Lepisosteus oculatus: one gene and its partners. The protein of the gene in region 1 binds, or shares a complex with, the protein of each later gene. Links are inferred from orthologs where the notes say so. Each region holds a gene or a part of one and is shown on either strand. Other genes may lie near its edges.

Region 1 (7,858 bases):
ACTGGAAATCAAGCCCCAAAGGATTGTGGGAAACCTGTGAGATGCATCGTGGGATTTCAGTTCTCACACTTGTGTCCGAGCTAGGAGCCGGTGGTTCTGTCTTGCGGCTCTGGAAAAGAAATTCTACCAAGCTTAGTCCAAAGTGTCCAGTTCTGCGTGGGTTGGTAAATTCCGTTGGTTCTGGTCTTTTTTTTTTTTGCCGAAGTAGGTGTGGGTCAGGATGGAAATAAGAACATGACGTTTTCAAATGAAAGAAGGACCATTTTGGTCATGTGATAGTTTGGTAGTAAATGGAATACAAAAGATATGTCTGGATGTTTCTTCAAGGACATCAGAGTTTGGGTCTCAGCCACCCGACTTGAAAGTCTGTTCCAGGTAGCTCTTTATAAAAAAACGTTTTTAAACAGTTTCAAACTTCTCAGTTCTTATGCATTTTCAAGCTTTACAACAGACAATTCCAGTGCAAGTGTGTGCTGGCTGGGGTAAGTGTGCAGTTCAGCGCTTCAGTGTCCTTGAGGAAGTGTGTGTCCTTGGGTGGACAGTGTGTGTTTGACAACTGAGATAAACTGCTTTGAACTGGGAGACAGGGAAAACAGACATCTTTGTGCAGACTGTGAGCAATTCAGTGTGTATTGTTGAGCAGTGAGGCTGCATTGGTATATAAGTCTATGTTGGAGTGTGTTCGCAGGATAAAATTAGTGGTGAACTGTACAAAGTCTGCTTTTTTAACAGAAAAAAAGGTATTCTCTCATTTCTTTGGGGGTGGGGGCAGGATGCAGTTCACTTTGAGGACTTTGCAGTTATACTTTGTACTTGGTGCAGCTACATTATACCTTGTAATTGCAAACTGTTTTAACAGAGTTAAAGTCCGTTAAATTCATACAACCGATTGTGCAGAACAAGGTAACTAGTATGACCCTTTCTTTACATACTAACCTGTGTGCTCACAAATGCAGAACACTGCCAGTTTGTCCTGGGCAGGTGATATGTCTGAGTTGTGTGATTGTATGTGTGTAGGCTGCTGTATCCCTGGGAACCCTGTGATTGATCTGGGAATGTGTGTGTGTGTCTGTCCCTTGCTGTCCGGGATCCTGAATGCTTGTGTTTGCGGTGCAAGAGTACGTCTCCACTAAGATAGTAGGATGATAGATGATGTGGATAAATCTAGCAGCTTTCAGATACAGAGAGAGAGTGAGACGGTGGACAGAGAGAGGGGGGAGATTTAGGATTGAGTCAGGGGGGCAGGATGGCAGAAATTCGGACTGACTCACTTTGGAAGGTGGAGTGGAGAGGATTGTTTCCTGCATACAAAACGTGTCAACTTCCATTCCGTTTTGACGGCCACAAACCTTAAAAGAGCAAGTGGGCGTCCCTGCAGGTGTCCCCAGGTCTATATATATATAAATACCCGAGCCCTTCCTAACCAGTTGGCATGCCACCAGACACTTTGTGCTCCACAGCGCCCCCTCTCTGCTACGTATGCACATTGTCATTTTTTTCTTCTCTTTGGGAATGATGAACCTGTATATATCCAGTGTTGTATCCAAAAAAAAAGGAGCTTTAAAATGCAAACGAATGAGAATCCAAATAAATAGTCTTCTGTTACTTCAGCTGCCATTTTTGTTGTGTTTTTTTAAAGTCACAGCACCTTCCAGGAGTTCGTCTTTCTCTTAAACTTGTTGTGGGTGTTGAGGACTTGTGTGTTGTAGTCCTGCAGTATCAGGAATGACCAGGGCACAGTGTTGAGAGGCACGAAGGTCTCGGAGAGGGCATACACACACAATACCGGTCCAGGAGGAAAGAGATTGTCCACATCTTGACCCCAGTCCTTTTCTCTGCTGTGAAGAGAGGTGGGTAGCCGATATGGTGGCCACCAATGACTGGCCTTGTTCGTATCTTACAGACAGTACAATTCAGGGGTGTGGGTCAACACTGTTCAGGGGCCTTTTTAAAGTAAAATGAACTTGGTTCCCCAGTTTGCCTTATGAGTTATCACCCATAGTCAACAATACTTAAAATGCGTCCTCAGTGGTCACTTTCTTGGGGTGGGGACTGAATTGCAACAGTTTAGCAGGGGCTGAAAACAGACCTGACTGACGTGTGAGGTGTTGTCTCCCTCCATTTATTTGTGCACTGAGTTTAAAAACAAACCCTAGCACCTCATCGCCAACGTGTCATGTTCTGCCAAATAACTAAATATATTAATGGTGTGCTTTGTAAAAAGAAAACCCCTACAGACAAGCATCCTTTCTTTAGCTTTTGGAGTATTTTAATGTTTTCCCTGTCTTCTCGTGTTCTAAATCATACATAAGTAAATATTACAACACCAAAAGGAATTTCAACCAATTCAGTGGAATAGAATACATATAAAAAAACACGTCTTCTTAAAACACACTGAAGTGCATGAAGCACCCAAAAAAAAATATTTTTTTTTACAACAAAAGTCTTGTTCACGCCGGAAATGGTCAAAAACCAAACAAATATGATTCTACCAATACCTTTACGACGCTCTCTTTAACTGAGGTAATCACCTTTTTGTAAAAATAACAATAGCTATAAAAAAAAGGATCTTAATGACCCTTCGTAGCTGAGTATTACAGACTCCGATGGAATTCGGGGGTGTGCTGTAACATTTGTAACATCATTTAACACTGTAACTAACGTGTAACATTTGGGAAGTATGACCGTGGATCTGTACAGAAAGATATACACATATTTGACCAGGCGTTATGGTGTTTTGAGAAAACTGTGCCGAGACCGCTACCGTTACAGCTCGGACCGGCGCCGTCGCCCGGCATCTCCCACCCACCCGCGAGCTGCTCGAGCAGTTCACCGTCACTAACCCCCCCAAATAAAACTTCAAGAGGAGGTGCCGAGCGCTGGCCAGCTGAGTTGTTTAGTCTGACTAGAAAGTGGAAGTCAAGGGAATGTCAGCCACAGGGCAACGCCGAAAATGAGCAACTTGTCTCCTCCCCAAGCCCAGCGCTGCGCGAAATCGACGCTCTGTCCAAGCGCTCCGGCCTCCAGCTCGGTTTTTATACCTCCTCGCTAACAGTAACGATCATTGCCATCAGTTTGATTTTTTTTTGGTATAGAAAAATTGGAGGTCTTTTTCCAGATAGCCGAATTTTATTTCCCATGCCAGAATGTTTGAAAACATCCTGATCAGAAGGTTTCTTATTAGGACAATCATACAATAATACATTGCAGCCTGATTGTCACGACAAAGCCGAGTAGGTGGATAATTGATTTAATTACAATGATTAGGGGAGCTCAGATAAATCTCGGTAGATACTGTATCCGGTATTATCTTTTTTTTTTTCTCATTCTCTTAACGATTTATTTTCTGTATATTACAGGTGCAGGCAGACATTACCTAGACAGGTGTCAGTTTTCGCAGTGCGAAGTCATTTTTTCACCTTTAGCCTAATCCGCGTCTCAGGCCACAACTATATTTCCACGTAAGAGATTTGTCACAGACGGGCCGTGATCCCTCTCCTTAAACCCATCTGAAAAGACCACCAATGAGCAAGAGATGTTTAGAAATCAATACTCCCACGACAGTGCGCGAATACAATACCCCAAATTCACAATAACTGTAGTCAGAAGTGCGACAAAACTAAGATTTCTATACAGTCCGGGGTGAAGAACTGCAGCCCGACTGTTTCGTAAAGCGCTCTCTTTTGAAAACGGAAAAAATTCCAGTTTGTCAGCTGTGTTCGGGTTGTCACCCCTGACACCAGTCGGGTTTATAATGAACTCTCAGACAATGTGGTTTATTATTAGCTGTACAACATCTCAGAGCCGCCTAACCGCCGGAACGAGACAACGGGTGTCACTGGGTGTAATATGATACAAAGAATGACAAACTGCCGCTGCTCGCAAGCTGCTGTCAGTGTAATTGAATTTTAATTAAAAAAAAGTAACGCAAGCAAGACATTTAAATGGAAATTCCTGGTGCCTGTAAAACGAAACGCGAGGTCTGACATGGGAGGGGTTTGAACTGAATTCCATTCAGGGTGTGAGTTTTTAACTTATTATTTTTAATGTCGATTAAAAAGAATCTTGGGTCTGCGAGTGAAAAATGTCAGTCCAAAGACTAAGATATAGGGCAAGCTGCCATCATTTTTGCAAGAATAGAAGAACTGCACCGTCTAACTTGTTCAAGACATTTTGCTGAGACGTACGACGATTAGAAAGTTGTTAGCCGTTTGCACCTTGCTCGTTGGCATACACCGGCGGGCAGTTTCATGACAGGAGAAACAGAATGGGAGCTTTGTTTCCTGATTAACGCTAGAATAACAAGGACTATTCAGAACAGTCACCTATTAATTTATCTAAGCCGGGAAAACAAAATCAAACATTTAACGCGATACGAACGTCGTTATGATAGCTGGGTGAATTAATTCAAAAATAAGCGATATAAGTAAGTTCAGTCGCCAGTGCAGAACAAATGCGCTTGTCTGCATATCAATAATAATGATAATTTCAGATACTGTTTTGCGTGGGCGGCGTGCACAGACTAGGGAATTTGAACATGGAATCCGAACATTTGTAGCACCCGATTAGCAGCTCGCCCAGTCTCTGTCCCCGTTTTCGGAAGGGTCTTTTTTCCTTGCTGGGGTTCCTCTGCCCAGTCAGAGACAGCCGGACAGGGAGAGAGAGGCGGACACGGTGCCTGCACCAGCACCACCACCACCAGCAGCAGCAAGCTGAGTGAAGTGTGAGGCGGGTCGGTCTCTCGGCTCAGTTTCAGCTCTGCCACTCCCAGCACGGGCCCCGGGAGCGCGCTGCGCGTCACCCTCGCCTACCAGCCACAAGGAAGGGATACAGCGAGTGAGACAGGGAGTAGGAGTGGGGAAGTGCTGGGATATTGTTTTTGAAATCGACAAGGAAGGAGAAGAGGTTCTTGGAGACTGCCCGTTCTTAAGTTTCGACTAAAACCGAGGCGCCCGGTGCTCGCTATGGAGTAGAAGCCGAAGGCGATGGAAACGCCGTGGAGAAGTTTGCTGGTGTTGCTCGGAGCTGCGCTGGTCGTGACTGCGGGCACACGGGGCAGGGAAGGTGGGTTGACTTTGAAACTTTCATTTCTCTTCAGGGCCACGAGAGACGAGAGAGGGGAGGGAGAGAGGGCAGGAAACGCGGGGGGAAAAAAAACTCTCGGGGGAGACTTTGTGTCCCCTCGATTCACGTTTTCCCGAGCGTGAAACTTTTCTTGCGCGACTCGAAAATAACTTTCCAACCCCCAGCCGCGTCGCGCCGCGCCGCTCTCTCCCACATTCGGTCCAATTCGTGGGGACTTCCCTGGATGTGTCAGTGCGATTTCAGGCGCGATTTCAGGACGGCTTGGGTGCTGTTTAAAACTCCGCTTTCTCGAAATATGTAAACACTATAACTCGAAGCCAAATACTTAAAGGAGGTGTGTTTGTGTCGGGAAGGGGAGTGTTAGAAAATACTCACGGCTGCCTGAGAACCTGCTTTGCGACTCTGAATGACGACACTCGAGTGGAAACAGAATAATCCTAATAGCGAAGAAGAATACCTTTCTGTAGTAAACAAACCCGTATCCCGTCGCCAGTATAATCTTGGAAACCAGTCCTGACACCTAATAATTACAGCCCCGAACTGCGGCGGAGATGCCGCAGAGAAACGCCAAGTTGTGTATTGACATATAAGCTAATAATAAACTAGCCGGGCTTCAGATTTGTGTGAAGTATCGATTTCAGAAACAATTGTATAAGCCTATTTCGAAATACAGACGTTGAGCAAACTTTGTAGTCAAATAGGCTATTGGCTACGGAATTTGAACTGAAACACTCCACATCTCCCCTCTACAACCCTCTCCAGCGATGCAGCACTCTTGTTGTGCTTGGGCACAGTCAAAACAAACTTATTCGCTGCTGATATCTGGTTCCAGGTTGTGCACAAGGCGGTGGTGATGTGTGTCATATTCTTCAAGTGAGTCTGTAAGGTGGCATTTCCTGTTATCCGTGAAATAATAATAATAAACTTTATTTTATATAGCGCCTTTAAAGGTGGCTTCTCAAAGCGCTTTACAGGATGACAATAACAATAAATAAGAAGACTACAACAATAATTAAGAAGATTTCACAAGATAGGACACAATTATAATTACAACAATACAACAATAACAATAGAGGAGACCGTGGAAGGTGGTACTAAGAAGAGCAGAGGGGTGAAGAATGGAACCAGTTAAGTAAAGGCTTTTCTGAAGAAGAAGGATTTGAAGGAGTTTAGAGAAGGTGACTCTCTAATATCCTTGGGCAAAGAGTTCCAGAGCTTTGCCCAAGGATGCAGTTGTTGAAATGCAGTTGTTTTCTTACTGACCGGGCACTATATGTGTCGGCTTTATTTTCCATCCCAAAATATTAAGCCTACTTTTATGGCAAAAAGTCTTTCCATGGAGTTGAGTGTTTTGAAACCTTTCCTTTGTAGAGACGGTTTCCACCATCTTTCCCTGTGGAGGCCTGTTCTGCCACCCTGAGCTCAGGCACTGCGTGAGCCTTTTTAACACCCTGGCTGTTGGAAACGCTGTAGTTTTGAAATCTCGTGCCCAGTTCTGGGTCGCACACTTCCCACTGGTTTTTCCCAGAGTCTCTCCTCCATGGAGATGCAGTCCCATTGGCACTTCCAGTTGCCAGTTGTTTTTTTTTTCTAAACAGCCGAATCATTTTTTTTCTATTTTTCCGTTTTTGCAACAGCCAACTTGTTCCTGTGGATAGAGTAATTTCAAGTTCCGCAAACCCAAACCCTTTTTCCCACAATCTTTAAAAATAGGTTTTAGAGCCTGAGAGTCTGTCGGCAGGATTCCGACGGGTTAGTTATGGGATGCAAAGATTCCCGCTGTCGTTCCCAATGCCTGAAGGAAAGCAGGGAAGTATCTAAACGGATTCTGGGCATAATGATTCCAGATGGGCTTCTCAGCACTGCGCAAGGGCGATTGTCTTCCCCTAAGCATTTTTCAGAGCTCCTTCTGGATGCTGAGGATGTTTTCAGCAGCCCTTTCCAGCTTCTCCTCTGAAGCTAAGAAGACTGACCCTCAGCTTCATGGAAGAAGACATCCTCTTAAAATTAGCAAGCGGTCATTTTTCAGCACAGAAGATGGTTATAATCTCTTTTTTTATGTGGCAATATCTTTTGCCAACTGGACTGTGATTTTAGCCTGCATTTGGCCAGTCCAGCATTGTACCAGACGAATTGGTTTCCCTCTGTTTTTCCAGCTTAAACTCTTCTGGTCTTTCCAGACGTAGGCTTCTATGTCCTGTACATGCCAAAAAACCTGGTGCTGGATATTTGCCAGGGTTGTCTTTTAATAATGGTTAAGTGGGTCTCAGAGCTGTAGATAAAAATATGATAGATGTTGTTTTCAGTCATGGGTATTTTTTTCTACAAAATCCTTCACCTAATAAATCCTCAAATGGATCAAAACAGATTTGCTTGGCTTGCAGTAAAGATGCGCACTGCCCTAGCTCTTGTGGATTCTCATTGGCAGACACAGTTTGTCACAACATTTGCACATTTACGCCACCAGCCACCTTTTTGAGTGACTTATCCTTGGCAGTTTGGTTACAGTGTAACGCCAGTAAAAAGGGACATGTTAACCGTCTCCTGTCCAGCAATAGGTAACCTATTGTTATTTATGCGTAGTGCTGCCTCTAAAGGAACTGAAATACCATTGCTTAAGCTTCCTTGTTTCCTTGTTTTCCTTCATGCGCTGTCTTTATTTTGCAGAGCATTGTTTCCTGGTGGGCCGTTTTTGTCTTGATAATAAATACGCACCCTGTAGGATTAGGGCTCTTTGACTAGAACAAAGCCATTTGAGCACATGACTCCCATT
Region 2 (7,374 bases), on another chromosome or scaffold:
CTCTACACTGTGCAGCCCCGGTCCTCAGTGCTGCTCTGGCCTAACCTCCTAATCCCCTCCCCAGCAGGAGATCCTAATTCCACCTCTGGTGCTTTCTGAGGTGCCACATCACACACTATTAGACCAGTGGAAGAACATGAACCACTTTAATCTGCTGCGTCAGCACCCCGTTAGCAACTGTCCGCTGTCACTCCATCACCCACGCCTGTCGCTCTCCGAGGGCAACTTCGACTGTTTCTCATTTTCCAGCCGAGAGACGACTACAGTGTCCCTGGACGTGTGGGAACCATCGGAGCAAATCACCTCCCCGCAGACAAATCCTACACACCAGTACAACAGAGCTCTATTGGTGACTGACGGTCTCTCGCACAGTCCTCACTTTCCCTTTTATTTCGCGGAGGCACAGAGAGCTGGAAATCCTGTCCCACGTCCGGGACAGTCCCGCGGGAACTGGGCCGGCGTACCTGTTAGAGACGGGCTGGGGGCAGGGGGCAGCGTGCCGGACCTCCCCTCCTCAGCCTCCTCAGTCTCTCGCTGCTCCTTCTCCATCTCACCATCCCAGACGCCCTGCACGGGGGGCAGAGAAAGACAGGCTGGCTCGTAAGGAACAGGGAGTCCACTTCATCAGCAGGACACACAACCCAAGCCAAGACATAAAACCACACAGCCAAGCGTCTGTCCAACGGCTGTAACAGGGTCAGTCATTCTGCAGGGCACGGCTGAAACGCTGCCAGGCTCCAAGCTCTGCTGATCAAACTCAGGATTGCAGAGCTGATTGGAGGTCCACCTGCGTCAGGGATGATCCCGTCCTTCTTTAAACCCCTGGCCGCTGGCAGGTCGGGTCTGTGACCGTGTGGTCCGAGCTCTGGACGAGACCAGCAACACCACCGCGGACCAGAAACGCAATTAGTGATCATGCGTCTGTCATGTGACGTGCCTGGCTAGTCACATCTGAAAGCCTTAGTTTGAATGACTCAAACCAGGCCTAATAACCATGCAGATTACCCGGAGCGACCTCAAAACACAAAGGGCTTTCTGTCGAGATCTTTAAAAAAAAACACTAAATACGTCAGTTCCAGCAAAGATGCAGATATTTTTAGGTTTTGGGAGACAGCAGACATGTGGCCACTGCGCTGTTCTTTAACAGACCTGTAACCAGCTGTGTCTCAGAATAAACTGTCGCCTCTAATGCTCATCACCGTGCTTCTGAAAACGCTTGATTTGTGGCGCTCTGGATACGGGCGTCTGCCTCGTTGTTCAAGCACGTGAGAAACGTTTGCTGTGACGTTAATGAAAATGAGAAATAGGTGTTTTCAACCCATTATTTTTCACAAAGCTGTTCCGGGCTCTTGAGATCGCGGAAACTCAGACCACTGTCAGATAAAACAGATGAATCACACCTGCTGCCTTGCAGGGTCTCTGACGACAAAAACGCAGCCAGGTCAGTGACCACCGGTCTTACACGGACTCCCCAACACGGCTCGTCCTGCTAACGCCACGGAGAGCAGCCCTGCCTGCTGAAGGGCCGTCATCGATTCCAGGTTGTTTTTCCAAGGAAAGTCACCTGGCGGTTCCCGTCCACAGCTTCCCAGCTGCTCCTGGTCGCTGGGAGACGTCCCCAAACGCCTGCCAGGGAACTGGTTTGCTCCACCAACTTAAACGGAGGGCTTACAGAGCGAAGGACAGGAACGGGCGAACAACAACGTCACGGACTGGAGTCTTTAAAAACGCCTGGGAGAACGCGAAAGAAAACCCCGTCTGATCCCCCCACCCCCCGCTGATCAAAACACAATCGTTACTCTACATCACCTTCCAATATAGCACAGCTGTAGACGGCACGTATAAATAACCGCACAATTTCGGAATGCCGAGACTTTCCGCCGCTCCTCAGGTCTGCGGTGTTATTGCTGGTTGCCTCGGCTCGGCCAGCCCGTTGCGGTGATCAACACCCGGGAAGGAGTCTGTCTTGGTAATACAGGCGATTGTAAACACGGCTGTAAACACAGGTTCACCCACAGCACTTACCGAGGAAAAACGAGATTGTTTTCGGCTTTCCGATCCTGTCAGAAGGTCTGTTCCCCAAGGAGGACATTCAAGTCTTTTAATTGGTTTGCGGTCGGTTTAGTGTGTGCGGCGTCGCCGGACAGTGAAGGCTTGTTCTTTAATTGGATTTATTATTTTTTTTAAATGCATCAGCAGACAGCATTGCAACCCGGCCTAAAGCCCATAGCTGCACATAACACAGCCTCCTGCGTCTGGCTCGTCAAATTATTAAAGAAAGAGCTGTCGACTCCGAAATAAATAACATAAATAAATAAATCACAGACTTTAAAAAGTAACCGGTAATAACTATCTAAAACTTAATGAAGAAAAGAGAAACGGGGAGTATTTAAATAATCAAACTCTACCCCACCAACTGAAAAACTAAATAAATAAAGACAACTGCAGAGGTACATCCGGAATCGGAGACGCCGGCTAAGTGACACCTCGCACCAGCCAATCGGACGTGTTCTTCCAGGCAGGGGGCGGTGAAGTGGTGAGAGGGCGTGCTGATTGGACGGGATGTCCCGCTGGCCTTCCAAAATCCTCCAGTTACAAGACCATAGACACGAGGTTTGGGCAAGATAGGCCCCGCCTTCACTTCCTGTATTCTGCGCGCGTAGGATGAAGGGATACCTATGTACTGTATTGTGGAATTTCATATATGTGGACTATATATATACACTATATATGCATATGTGGAAATTCCTCATTTAAAACTGTTGACTGAAACAGACGATAATTGAGCACGTGGATAGTGCATCGACCAGACACTAGTTTGGACAAATCCGCTGTCTTTCCAGCGCATTCCCAGAATTAATAACACTTTAATTGGTCAATAGTATGTCTTACCTGTTCTGATATACAAAGAGAGGACACGCGTCAGGTCATTTACGCCTCCTACTTTGAGTTCAACCGTATTTATTTAGCGAAAGGCAAAGTTCCTCAGGCCATTGATAGTTTCTGGTCCAGCTGTGTGGAGGGTGAGTAGTCCCCCACTGAGTCTGTGGACAGGACAGGACAGGACAGGGTTCGGCTCGGCTCTAGGATGTGGTGCAGAGTTTGGACCATGACCAGTGACCAGTCCTAAAGCAGCACAGAGTGGAGAAGTGTTTTCCTGGGAGGTGCGGGCTAGGGGATTGCAGGGTAGGGCATGTGATGAGGCTCTTGTTTGCCAAGACCAGTCATTCCCAAACGTGAGCCCACGTGGAGTCTGCATTGAAGTCTTGCTCGGGCGAGCGGGCGAGGAGCATGTCTGGACCCTTTTGAGCACGTTGTGGGTGATTGCTAGTCGCGGGACAGGTGGAGGAGTGCTGTCTGCTGGCACAGGTAGCCAGGGGACTGCGGTGGTGCGAAATTAAGAAACTCTCGACTTCCAGAACACCAGCTGCAATAATAGTAAATATTCATGGATGTATCACTGGTTCATCTATTATTAAGAAAATGCTTTCAAACGGATCGCACGCTGTCTTTAATTAACCACTCAGATTCCATACATTACAGCAGGGCTGGTCTGGTCCTCTGACGTCATTCCTGTCAGAAAGAGGACAGTTATCCCCGCATTCAGCAAGTGCAACTATCAAGAATGTCCTGAGTTACACGGGCTGTCTTTATTCTTCTCATGATGTACACCTGAAATACAGTATATTCTTGTCGTCACTGTTTCCGATAACCTGAGATTGTTCAGGAAACAGCTGTATTAAAGATCATCGGGTCCATCAGCTGCATACACACCACTCAATGCCCTCTGCTTATTTAACCTTTGTCAGCTTTTTCCTTCTTTTTACCTCGGTAAGGAGCCGAATATCTCTTCCTGCTCGTTGGAAACAGGTTTCTGAGACCACACAGGCGGCCACACAGGGGCACTGTTGATCCTAATACACTACTATAAAAATCGGACTCGTCTAGACTGTAACTCTGTGAGAGCGGCTGGACAAAAGATTATTGTTGACAAATATTAAAAGCATTTTAAAAATTACCCATGAATGTCCTCCTCTATGGGTGCAATTGCATACTATGCCAACAGGCCTCCAGTCCAGTACCAGGCACTGCGGTCTGGACCAGAGACACTGCCCCTTCGGGCTGAGCGCGCTTCCCGGAGACCGAAGTTAGCGTCTCAGACTCAGGGACTGTAGCCTACAGAATGGCACCCAAGTCCACCAGAGGCACAAAGTGCTTGTTGCACGTACACCACACGTCTTAAAACCCCTGTGCTGATCTGGCCTTGCGCACTGATGCTGACGGATAACGGCGCTGCACGACCATTTCTGACGCGCATAAAATATCGCCATACAATATTTCTTGAATCGTGCAAAGATGATTTTTTTCTGTGTGTAGAAATAGAGAGCGCTGGTGGGGTTAAAGAGCCTTCAGGGGTTTGACTCCCTAGCGCTGAGCAGGGCTCCAGCCGGTCAGTGTGACGGAGGGTGGTGATTTTACAGGTTAGAACGCGCAGTTCTTTCAGCCTCGGTTTATTTTGTCGAAGGCGAATACAGTTGCTTGAGCCGAGACCTCGTCTCTCAGCTCCGGCTCGCTGTTCCGGGCGGCGCCGCTCGCTGCCCTGCTGCGGGGAAAACGCGCTGTCCAGCGGAGGGTCAGCGCGCCGGACACCGGCCGGCTCGGCGCCCCGCTCGCGGGAGCAGGCTGCCGCGCCGCCGGCAGTCCGACAGCTCTGGCGCGTTTCCAGTGATTGAAAAAACACTTCCTTGTCCAGATGTGACCGAGAGCACCTTCACTCTCGCACGCTCCGACAAGAGGAAGAAACTGCTGAGCCCCGGGCTGCACGGAGAGCAGTCTTGACGCGCAGTGGGCTCCAGCGAGCTGGAGGAGAGCACTTTGTCTCTTTGAGGTGAGGAGGTCCGGCTCAGGCGCGCACAGCGCAGGAGCTCTTCACAGCCCTGCTGACCATGAGGCTGCTTCAGTGTCGACTCGTCTGCGTCTAGAGAGCGTCGGGGTTTCCTTATTTCTCGCTGTTTTGTTTTTTGACTCCGCGACAGCCATGGACCACCGGCACCTGGCGGCGTTCGTGGAGAAGACGAGGGCCCAGCAGGCGTCCGGCTGCGGCGCCGAGGACCGACTGGCGGCGGAGTACAGCGTGAGTGCGCGCGCCCTGTTCTCTCCGGTACCGGCGGCCGCGGGGCTGCCAGAAGAGCCGCGAGGCGGTCCGGTTATTTACACGACGTTAACAGCGAACTTTTATTTTGTAGCGATTTGAGATAAAAGCGTAGCTGTATGAAGTAGCACTTCAGAAAGTTTTTAACAGGCTCCGTTGTAGCTCGACGTATGTGCACCAATAATAGTACGTACTCCGAGAGCTACATCACTCGGTATCATTTTGCAAAGATAATTATCAGACTTTGCCTGACAATAACAGTGTTTGTAGTGCTGGCAATCTGAAACGCTCTTTGTAAAATGTTGATATGGCAACGGTTTGCTCAGAGCGGTTTCCCTTCTGAATTACCGGGGCGAAGCGAAGTGAGTTGTGTAAGACTTAGCTGTACGCTCAAAGAAGCTGGAAGGCAGGACTTATTTGACAAGATGGAGAGAAGCCCGGGGTTCCTCTACAGGTGTCCAACAGGGCAGGACCGTGGGCCTGAGCACCATTCACTTGGTGAAGATTTATTGCTCATTCAAATTCTGCGGTTCTCCTTGTCTTGTAATGGTGTTATTCGTCCAGAAAGGCCTTTTGACCGTCCTGTTTTCTACTTGAAAGCACCGTTCAGGTCAGTGGTTGGACGCTTGCTGAGCTCTGAGGTGTCTGCTCTAGTGCTCCCCGGTGTGTGGTTGATTGAGCCACAGCTGAGAGGCGCAGGGCCTTGCAGTCTCCTGACTTGAGCTGTTCTGCTTCTGTTGCATTTGTGTTTGAACGCCTGGAGCTCCAGCACTTTCAGTTTATTGTCAGACTGGCCTTCTGGTTTTGTTATGAGACAAAACCGGCGATGCTCAGGATCCCGATAGCAGAAGTCTTGAGTCTGTTTAATTCTGTTCTGATTATCTTTACGCTTGTGAAAGTGTTTGAGGAGGCAGGGGCTGGAGTCCAGTTCCTCTGTCTTGTGCAGGAAGGGGTAGTGCCCAGGGGAAGGCCATTCGAGACCCTTTTGCAGTGGCACTCCAATACACTGTACCCTTGGAGTCAATGCAGCTCCACGCCGCCTCAGGAAACATGACAGATCGAGCCAGCAGACAGTCAAGCTCCTGACAGGATTCCTGTTTGTTGTAGATCCACGCGTAGCACCGGCAGAGTCCGAGTGAGTTAAATCCACAGCATTCCTGCTCTCCGCTAGTGCAAGCAGCCTGCATGCCTGCACACACGGTGCCGGAGACCCCGCAGTGCCGCTGTGCCGAAGTGCAGGATTGCAATTCCTGGTGCAGTGTGTGAGGCATCCTGGGACCAAGGAAGAAGACCCAGCCAGCCAGGTCTGAGCCTAGCAGCACCCCTCCAGCTCTCCTGGAGCTGCCCAGCCTTTCTAGGCTGAATACTCCTTCATCGCGAAGTGAGTCGTGGTCTTTTATGACTTACACCCCCGTGGAGCCGACCTGCTGGAGTGGGTGAAGGTGGTAGGGAAGAGGTGAAGGCAGGCAGGCCGGTTCAAATGCAGCCGCCTTCTGCCATAGTCTTAACCTGCAGAGCCCAAGTCTAAGGCTGCTGAGAGCATGTTAAGACAAGAGCGCCGTGCCAGCGAACAGAGTAAGCAATGCTTCTAAATGTCTCCTGAAAGCTTAGCGTGTGCAGTTGCCTCCTGGGCTCTCACTGTCTCGGGCCTCTGTGCATTTCTGTCAGCCCACAGAAGCGCTCGTCTGGGCCAGAGTTGTAGTCCGACCTCCGGGCGCACTCAGATAACAAGTCACTACAGTCTCGCTTGATGTTTTCCCTCATGTAAGCCTATCAATGAGCTTAAAATAGACCCAAGAAAAAAGTGTTGCACTGTCCTGTGAACTGTGATTGTGGTCTCTGCTGTGCCACCAAGTGCAAGGACAGCAGAGGGCCTGAATTTGGTCTTTTCTTTCCCCCGGAGACAAGGCCGTGTGGCCCTGTGGGCTCTACAGGGTCATGCAGCTAAATCGGAGCAGGAGGACTCCCAGTGAGGAGCTTCAGTCCTCGACTCCAGATGGCACCAGCCTGTTAACAGGGCACGCAAAATGGGTATTTAATTCAAAGTGCGATTGAATATCTTCTGTCTTCCACTCATCACTCTCGGTATGAGAGTCTCCTGCAGGAGACCTCAAAGCCTCTTCTGCTCTGGGTTCTGGCCCTGGCTCAGAGAAAATCATCCGTTTGCAGAATCATACCGCAGACGCAGTTAACCTCAGTAAGGCTTTTATTTCAAAACTAAA
Region 3 (7,636 bases), about 1.8 Mb from region 1:
GCTAAAGAAAAAGGTTTGCTACTCTCCTTTCACATTTTCATTGTTCCAGTGATCCTATTTTTATCAAAGAATGGCCCTGTTTTTTAAGGTCTGGTGGCCATTGTTACGTAGTCTTGATTATTATCAATTCGGTATTTGACTCACACCATTGTTGTGGCACTGAAAGAATCCTCAGTTTGCTGCATCATTAGGTTCTGTAGCCCCATGTGTTACACAAGATATCTTTTAAACTTTTTGAGTTGAGCTACTTCAACTTATTGATTGTTGAAATGCTGAAAGCCACGTCACAGATAAAGCTCTAATAACTTAGTTTTAAATTATGCACGGAAAACCAAAAAAAAGTGACCTGTTACTGAGTAATTTGTATGGGGCAGTGATTATGAAACATAAGGAGATGTTAATATCTAGCACAGCCTTGAGCTGTGAAATGAAACTAGGCTCACCTACAGGTTTACGAGTTGTTGTACAGATTCTCAGGTGTGCAAGGAAACCATGTCTCTCTCGAAGCAAGAAGAGTATGCTATAGTTGCCTCATCTCCCTTCGAGCAGGTTGTCTGTTAAGTGATCTGGGCATTAGTAAAGTTAAACGAATAGCTCAGTCATTACTCTGAATTCACAAAACCACACATGTGGGATCTTGTTCAATGGTTTGAATATGATACAAATAATCCTAATAAAAAATAGACCACCTGTTAAGCTCTTTGTTTTTTACAAATCACTGTATAGTCTTTAAAAATTAGAAGGAAAATGGGTTTCCTATACAAGTGCAAAAAGGTCCTATTAGAGCATATAAAGAAATGGAATCCAATTCATTTACTCCCCATTCCTGTCCAGTGTGCTGAAATATGAGACTCATAAAGTCCATTTTCTGCTTACTAAAAGGCATGTCTAAAGAATTTTTGTATCTTCAACCTTGGATGCTCTAAGAGGGACACTTATTGGTGTAAACGGCTAGACAGTTGTATTTCATTGACAAAAAAACACCAAACCTGTATATAAATAACACAACTCAAGAATCCTCTTCTTCCTGGCCATTTACTACTTTAGATTTAATTTGTCAACTATAATGTAGCCATAGTGAAAGAAAAACAGTGATATTTTTTATCTGTAAATCATTATAAATATATAAACATTTAACTAGGCAGATTAATTTACCCTTTTTCGAATGTGAAGCTTTAAGTTTAAAAAAAATCTGTAAACATTGACATGCAAAAACAAAGATCTACATATGTATTTTTTTTCTTGAACTTTCCCTTTGGTTTTTAGTTTTGTTTTTTTTTAACCATCTTGTAACTCATCTGAGAAATGCACTATAATAAAGAGATCTCTATTACAATCAGTTGTATCATTCAAGTCATTTAGCTTTGTATTTCTTGCTAGCGAGCTAGCAGTTTCACAGGGAGCCAGTCTGGATCCTGTAGGATGGGGCTTTCATGTGGGAGGTGTGGTGGCACTGGTCAGCATCGGTGCCTTGAAGCCCTGGGTTCAGTTCCAGACCTGGGGAGCCGTCTGTGCGGAATTTGTTCTCTCCGTGTGCGTGTGTTTCCTCACAGTCCAGAGCTCTGACATGAGTGTGTGCGTGTGCCCTGTGGTGGGTTGGTGTGCCATCCTGCTGCTTGCCGGGATAGGCTCTGGCACCACCAAACCCCACAGCCCTGAATCGGAAGAAGTGGGAGAAGATGGATATTTGGGAATTATATGTGAATGCAGATTAATTTGAGTGATCACATGGGTCACAAATTTCTGGATATAGTGAAGCCTTAAGTAGTTTTCTAAGTGCCCCGCCCCCCCCACAACAAAGTTTTGTCCCTTATTTCATCCAAGAAATGCTTCGATACTGAGAGGCTGACACGAGAGTCTGAATGCAACAATGCTGTGCAGATACAAAAAAAAAACCACTCCAGTGATGCTCATAACGTGTGTCAAGGGGATTTCTTTAGAAACCCGTAAAAAAAGATGCAGTTTTAATTAACGCAAGGACGACGGGGGCGTACCCTGTTTGAATGAAGACCAGCCGGTTTCTACAGGCATCGTTGAAGGCAACCTGTAAGAAACACATCAGGATCTGGAAGACCGGTTTACAGCACCGCGCCAGGGCCGTCACCTCAATGCCTGACCACACAGGACCGCACTGTCGGGAGATCTGGAGTCTGCACTGAGACCGCACCTGTGCAGGAAGAGCAGCAGTGTCAGCCTACAGGCTGGTCAGGTATATCGGCTGCCAGGACGGTGTTCATTAATTCTGTAACGTCTTCATGGGGATAGCGTGACGTGTTAGATTGAAAACCCGTAACTTAAAAAAATAATAATTCTGGTCGTATTTCCTGTGATTTTGTTCGATATCTAAATTATTTTATTTCTGTTTCTTAAATCCATTAGTCCAGAATTGACTTTATTTTGTGCGTTTATAGAATTAAAAAAAAAACTATCTCGGAAATTCAGCTAATACTATCGACCTTGGCGTTTTGTCAGATCCCTGAATGATGCCCCCCGTTGTTAAGAGCACAGCCCCCGGGACGTGTCTGTAGCTTTGTCTCCCTCTACTGGAATTTCTTTGATCGGTATTTCACCAGGTCAAGGTTTGAGCTTTGAGGTTTGGTCAAATTGATCTATCAAGCGCGTCTGCCTGGTGTAACTCGCGCTTCGTGTCGCGAGTTCAGCGTCGCCTCCTGCTCTAGAACCTGAATTACACGAGCGATTCGGTCTCTGTTGACCGAGACATTTAAAAAAATATATATATTTGTCGTTTCTCGCTCGCTAATATAAAAAAAACGCTAGGCAGCGATGCTGTCGGCTGTCTAATAAACGGATCATGGACATTTCAGGAAAATCGAGAGATTTCGACAGCAATCGACAGTCTTTGTGACTGCATAATCATATAAGATAAGACATTAACAGAGCCTTTGATGTTACTGACAAAGTCTTCAAACGGCGGAACTCGAGTGCAGTAGCGCGCAGTGAAAACCTGCCACACCTGAGGAGACCTGTGGGCTCCTCTGGGGCCCATCGTGACCCTGACACGCATCGTCTTTTTAAACGTAGACATTTGATCACTGATTTTAATGTCACTGGCTGTTTACTCAGAATCCCACTACATTTTAAAGTGCACTGCTTTCAGTTTACAATTTGGAACTTAAGTAGCCCTGGATAAAAAAACAACAACAACAGTATTCATATTACAGGCTCTCACTGGACGAAAATTACGGGATGTCCTGTCTGCTCTCCTGTTGCCGACTGCAGTTTTGGGAGCTGTTAATCAGCCTCATCTAGAGACAGTGATCAGTCCTTGTGGATACCAGTGTAGGACAACGTTTTCCTGCGTTACCGAGCACGTAAAAAAACTGGTTCCGGAAGCGTTCCTGCATCGACAGAATGCCTTTAGGAGTATTCCTTCTACACTCAATAACCAGAAAGTCATGTAGACCTTCATTCATGGAGTTACCGAGTGCATGTTATGCTCTAAGAATGATCAATGACGAGATCGCTGTGGTTTGTGAGACAGCAATCTCTTCTGCACCGTGTCGTGAGACTATTTTCCTTTACAATAAATCGTTGGCTTCCAAATTAAAACGATGACACTACCTTATTGAAAGGAGTTATTTAATATATATATTTTAAAAGGCTTCAGCTGCGGAATCGTGCATTAAATAAATCTTGCTGTCTCCTGACTCGGGGAGTTCGCGGTTTGCGGGACAGACAATTTCCTCTGCAGGAGTGCAGTTCGTCTGTTTTCATCCCGGGCGCAGTTAAACGTTCACGTTGTAATACGAATCACAATCGCGTCCTGACCCGAGAGTACCTGCCGCACACCTCATGTTACTGAGATACCGTCTGCAGCTGACGGGTAAATCACAGTAAAATGGGAGCTCTTAATTAGAAGAGTTAGTGCGCCACAGGGACGCGCTGTCTTTTCTTTTTTTTTTAAGAAAAGCGACTCCCAGGGTTGAGAATTGACTAGAAAAAACCGTCTTGGTCAAACTTCCGGAGTGGAGTGGAAGTGTGCCCATGAACCCGCACGGATGATAGCACCCTCCCCACATCACGACCCGCTTACGGGCGGCCGCCGGGGCCGGGACGGGGTCCGGTGCCGAGAGCGCGCACCCCCACCTGTCCTCGCGGGGGGGGGGCGCGCGCGCGCAGTGGCCCAGCTCACCTTGCAGGTGAGCTCAAATCCGGGGCTCCTCCCGCCAGGGCCGGAGCGCCCTTGAGCGGTGACGACAGCGGGAGAGGCCGTGTGAGCGACAGGCGGTTGTTGAGTGAGGAACAGGATCTCCCGGTTGTAGGTAATTATTATTTCCACCGTCTGCTCCGGCAGCCTTTCTCACGTTTTTCCACGGGGTAAGTTCAAGTTCTTGAAAGCGGAGGGAACAAACGTGCGTCATGTATGTTGTTTCTCGGTTCTGTTTTCTAGGACGTTACGGGAGTTCGTCAGCTGCTGCTAGGCTGTGTTTGAGCTTTAAATGGGACAGTAAGATGCTGTTAGCTGACGAGAGAGCGTATCTCCTTTCTTCCTTGTAGGAGACAATGAGAACTTGAGATGGCGTACTATCCTATCCGTTTTTTTTACTCGCGTCTTGGCTTCAAATTAGCTGTTTTCTTCTCGTTTCTGTGTCATTTTGACTGCGGGCTTCTGTGGTGATCTGCTGTCTTTTAAATCCTTGGTTACAATGACTCAGGGCTGCACCGACCGGTCAAGTGTTAGATTCGAAGTGCTCCACACAGGGATAAACTCGTATTTTAATCCTTAGAGTTGTGGACGTTTTTTTTCTCTCTCCTTTAATCTGTGTTTTTGGAGCCTTCATGCTGTTTCCTTAGCGGTAGCTTGTCGATGTACGGAGAAGAGATGCACGCTGTGAAAGCATGCCTCTACAGATTCAAACTCTTGATGCAAAAAAAAAATCCTTGATCAGAGTAGAACAGACAAGTTTAGGTAGGGGTGTACCTCTTTGTCAAAGTTTAATTGCAGTGTTTTAAAGTGATTTGAGAGGCCCGTCTATTGGAAAAGTTAAATAAAAATTCCAACTGTTTGATGGCTTTTGAATTTGAAATCCACTTAAAGCTATAAAAAGGTGGAAACCAATCCAGAAGGAGGTTTTTTACCCGGTTGCTTGCATGTTCGTGTGCCTGAAGAGACGAGCTTGTGGAACCTACCAGAAGTGAGCTGTTCTGAAAGCAGAAAGGGACAGAAAGATTAAGAACAGGCCATCCGTGAGCAGCGAGTGGGAGAACTCTGGGGAGGAAGCACGCAGAAGTGATTAGATGCCAGCCGTTGGTGGCTGCGCACTTGAAGCGATTAAGGGCGTAAAGGTAAGAGGCAAAGCGAAACGTTGTGAAGCAGAGAACAGATGTCTTCTGCTGAAAGCATGGTGGGGTTCCTGAGCAAGCTGCCCATCCTTCTTGCTCGAGGGAACACCCTGGCCTGCTCGGAGAAGCAGATGGATGAAATCACGGTGTCACTCTCCTGCTCGCAGCTGTCCTTGCTGGATGGGCAGAAGGGCCTCATCGCTGTAACGTTTCTTTTCTTCCTGCAAGAGGAAGGCCGCTCCGTAACGCACGGTGAGCGGGCCGTCTTCACGCGGTTGTGCTTGCAGGCGCCTAAGGGAACGTCGAATGTTAAAACGTCCTGCATAAACGGGACATTGCTTCAAGTGCTGCCTTCACCTGCCCCCAGAGGGGTCCCCGTTCAGTCCTGCCTTGAGCAGCGAGGTTGTGCCCTTTGTGTTCGGCGCTGCTTTCGAGGTGCAGGCTGAGGGGGGGGCGAGCTTTCATCCCGGTCCGTGGCGCGCGCCGAAGCTGTCGACACAGGTGTGTGTTTTTGATCCCCAAGGAAGGCACGTGCCGGAGTGCCAAGATGAAGGCCCAGAGCTCGCAGCTGTCCAAGGAACGGATGCTTCCCGAGTCCTTGGCCTTGAAAATGTGCTCTTCTTTCAGGTTTCTTCAAAGGAAACTTTGAACTTTAACTGTCCTGAAGCACAAGTGCAGTTTACGTTGTTTTTTTTTTTTTTTAAACGAAGACACCGTGCATAAGTCTTGGGATTTTGTCTGCTCCCACGAAATAGGTCAGAGGCCCAGTCTGATTTCTTCAGGTTCCTGTGCTGTGGAAGGTGTCTTCAGTTAGTGTACAGCTGATTTCTCATCTGGTCAATGGTTGTCTGATCTCCCAGCTCTCTGTCTAGCTCCTCTCGCATTGCGTGAGTGACATGGGGGGCAGTCGATGTGTCAGTGGGCCGAGGCGCTAGGCCAGCCAGCCGGGCTGCTCTCTCTCTCGCTCGCCCGACTCTTCCTGCTGCTGCATGCTGCATGCTCGTCCATTTTCTGAACGTTGTGCTCTCCATCCTCATTCTGCAGCCCACTTGCATCTGAAAACGAGTGCGTACAGCTGCACATTGTAAATCTGTATTCAAATCCATACTTTTTAGATCTGACTGTTCTCATCATTGTGCTTTAAAACCAGATCAGGAGAAACTATGTTACACAAATTGTTGTGTGAGTTGGGAATGAACTACCCAGACGTGTTGATACTGATACTCTGGCTTCTTTTAAGAGCCAATTGGTAGAGTGCCTCAGATCAGCTATTCGCAGCCATATGATTTTGATAGGGAAGATGGACCCCTCTCATTTGTAACCTAACTTATGTTCTTACAGAGGGCCGTAACAGGTTGACCACTTTGAGTGGAATCTGGCAAGGACATTTCTGGACCTTCTAAGGACAGGATAACCAGAAGACATGAGAATCTCTTCACCCCAAGTCTGAAAATTGTTAATATTCTCTGACTATATTAGAAGTGGATCTGTTAGTCTGAATCTTTGAATATAAGATAAGATCACTTTATTGGCCATATACAATTTATTGAAGTAGGAATTGGTCTTTTTTTGCCCCAACTTGCTCTCCATGAGACACACAGACAAAGAGAAGCTTGGGGTCAGAGTGCAGGGTCAGCCGTTTATACGGCGCCCCTGGAGCAGTTGGGCCCCTGAGCAAGGCCCTTAACCCCAACGGAGTAGGATTCCTCTGCTGGTTGCAGGGTTCGTACCGGCAACCTTCCAGCCACAGGTGCAGATCCTTAGCCCCAGAACATACAGTAGCATTATTTGCAGATAAACCTGAAACCAAATTTGGGGTACATGTTGAGAGGGGTTTCTTGAGAAGGGGTCCCCCAGCCAGGAAATGTTGCCCACCCCTGTCCTTGAGGTTGTGTGGAGGGAGTGTTTTCTGCATGAGGCAGGCTGGGAGTTTCAGCGAGGCGTGCTGATAGTGAGTCAGTGGCCAGGGGTGAGTGAGAGTGCATTGTCTTAGTCTAAGCCATGTTTCATGTCCACACAAAGAGCAGGTTGTACAGCAACAGCTGCTGTCGATTCCACACAACTGAGCTCATCGCACGTACTGATGACGGCAAACAGAAATGACTAAAAAAACACCTCTGCTGTTGCAAAACTATTATTTCCCTTAAGTCAACCTTGCACCTGAAGTGTAAATACAATATTAAATTACTGATGCCAGTAATTACCAGTAAATTATTCTTACTCACTTCAGTGACTGGAAAGAATGCTCTTTGTCACAGTAATTATTAAGTTTCAGTTACTGAACAAATAAAGTTAAGCAGTCTTAAAACAAAAAAACAAGCTTCTGTAATCT

What was found.
Region 2: the proteins of erbb2 (region 1) and ptpn18 are in contact, whole or in part, in a crystal structure (PDB 4NND), measured with the Homo sapiens proteins. The link is inferred for Lepisosteus oculatus from reciprocal best matches to the Homo sapiens genes ERBB2 and PTPN18. Residues at the interface, in NP_004439.2 of Homo sapiens: Leu1109, Gln1110, Arg1111, Tyr1112, Ser1113, Glu1114; in NP_055184.2 of Homo sapiens: Arg61, Tyr62, Lys63, Asp64, Val65, Arg138, Asp197, Arg198, Ser230, Ala231, Gly232, Cys233, Gly234, Arg235, Arg268, Ala273, Gln276.
Region 3: the proteins of erbb2 (region 1) and grb7 are in contact, whole or in part, in an NMR structure (PDB 2L4K), measured with the Homo sapiens proteins. The link is inferred for Lepisosteus oculatus from reciprocal best matches to the Homo sapiens genes ERBB2 and GRB7. Residues at the interface, in NP_004439.2 of Homo sapiens: Pro1135, Gln1136, Pro1137, Glu1138, Tyr1139, Val1140, Asn1141, Gln1142, Pro1143, Asp1144; in NP_001025173.1 of Homo sapiens: Ser437, Arg438, Glu439, Gln442, Arg458, Glu459, Ser460, Asn463, Gly466, Val468, Lys476, Lys478, His479, Tyr480, Leu481, Ile482, Tyr492, Phe493, Ser494, Met495.

The regions. Positions count from the first base shown.
Region 1 is NC_090723.1:5,670,318-5,678,175, reverse strand, and holds the start of erbb2 (receptor tyrosine-protein kinase erbB-2), read left to right. Parts: upstream 1-4,770; 5' UTR 4,771-4,985; coding exon 4,986-5,064; intron 5,065-7,858. UniProt on the Homo sapiens protein: Protein tyrosine kinase that is part of several cell surface receptor complexes, but that apparently needs a coreceptor for ligand binding. Essential component of a neuregulin-receptor complex, although neuregulins do not interact with it alone.
Region 2 is NC_090697.1:77,038,892-77,046,265, forward strand, and holds the start of ptpn18 (tyrosine-protein phosphatase non-receptor type 18), read left to right. Parts: upstream 1-4,293; 5' UTR 4,294-4,888; intron 4,889-5,036; 5' UTR 5,037-5,038; coding exon 5,039-5,134; intron 5,135-7,374. Other genes in the region: mon1ba (vacuolar fusion protein MON1 homolog B), read right to left, coding at 465-549. UniProt on the Homo sapiens protein: Differentially dephosphorylate autophosphorylated tyrosine kinases which are known to be overexpressed in tumor tissues.
Region 3 is NC_090723.1:3,853,937-3,861,572, forward strand, and holds the start of grb7 (growth factor receptor-bound protein 7), read left to right. Parts: upstream 1-4,615; 5' UTR 4,616-5,307; intron 5,308-6,539; exon of another isoform or gene 6,540-7,636. UniProt on the Homo sapiens protein: Adapter protein that interacts with the cytoplasmic domain of numerous receptor kinases and modulates down-stream signaling. Promotes activation of down-stream protein kinases, including STAT3, AKT1, MAPK1 and/or MAPK3. Promotes activation of HRAS.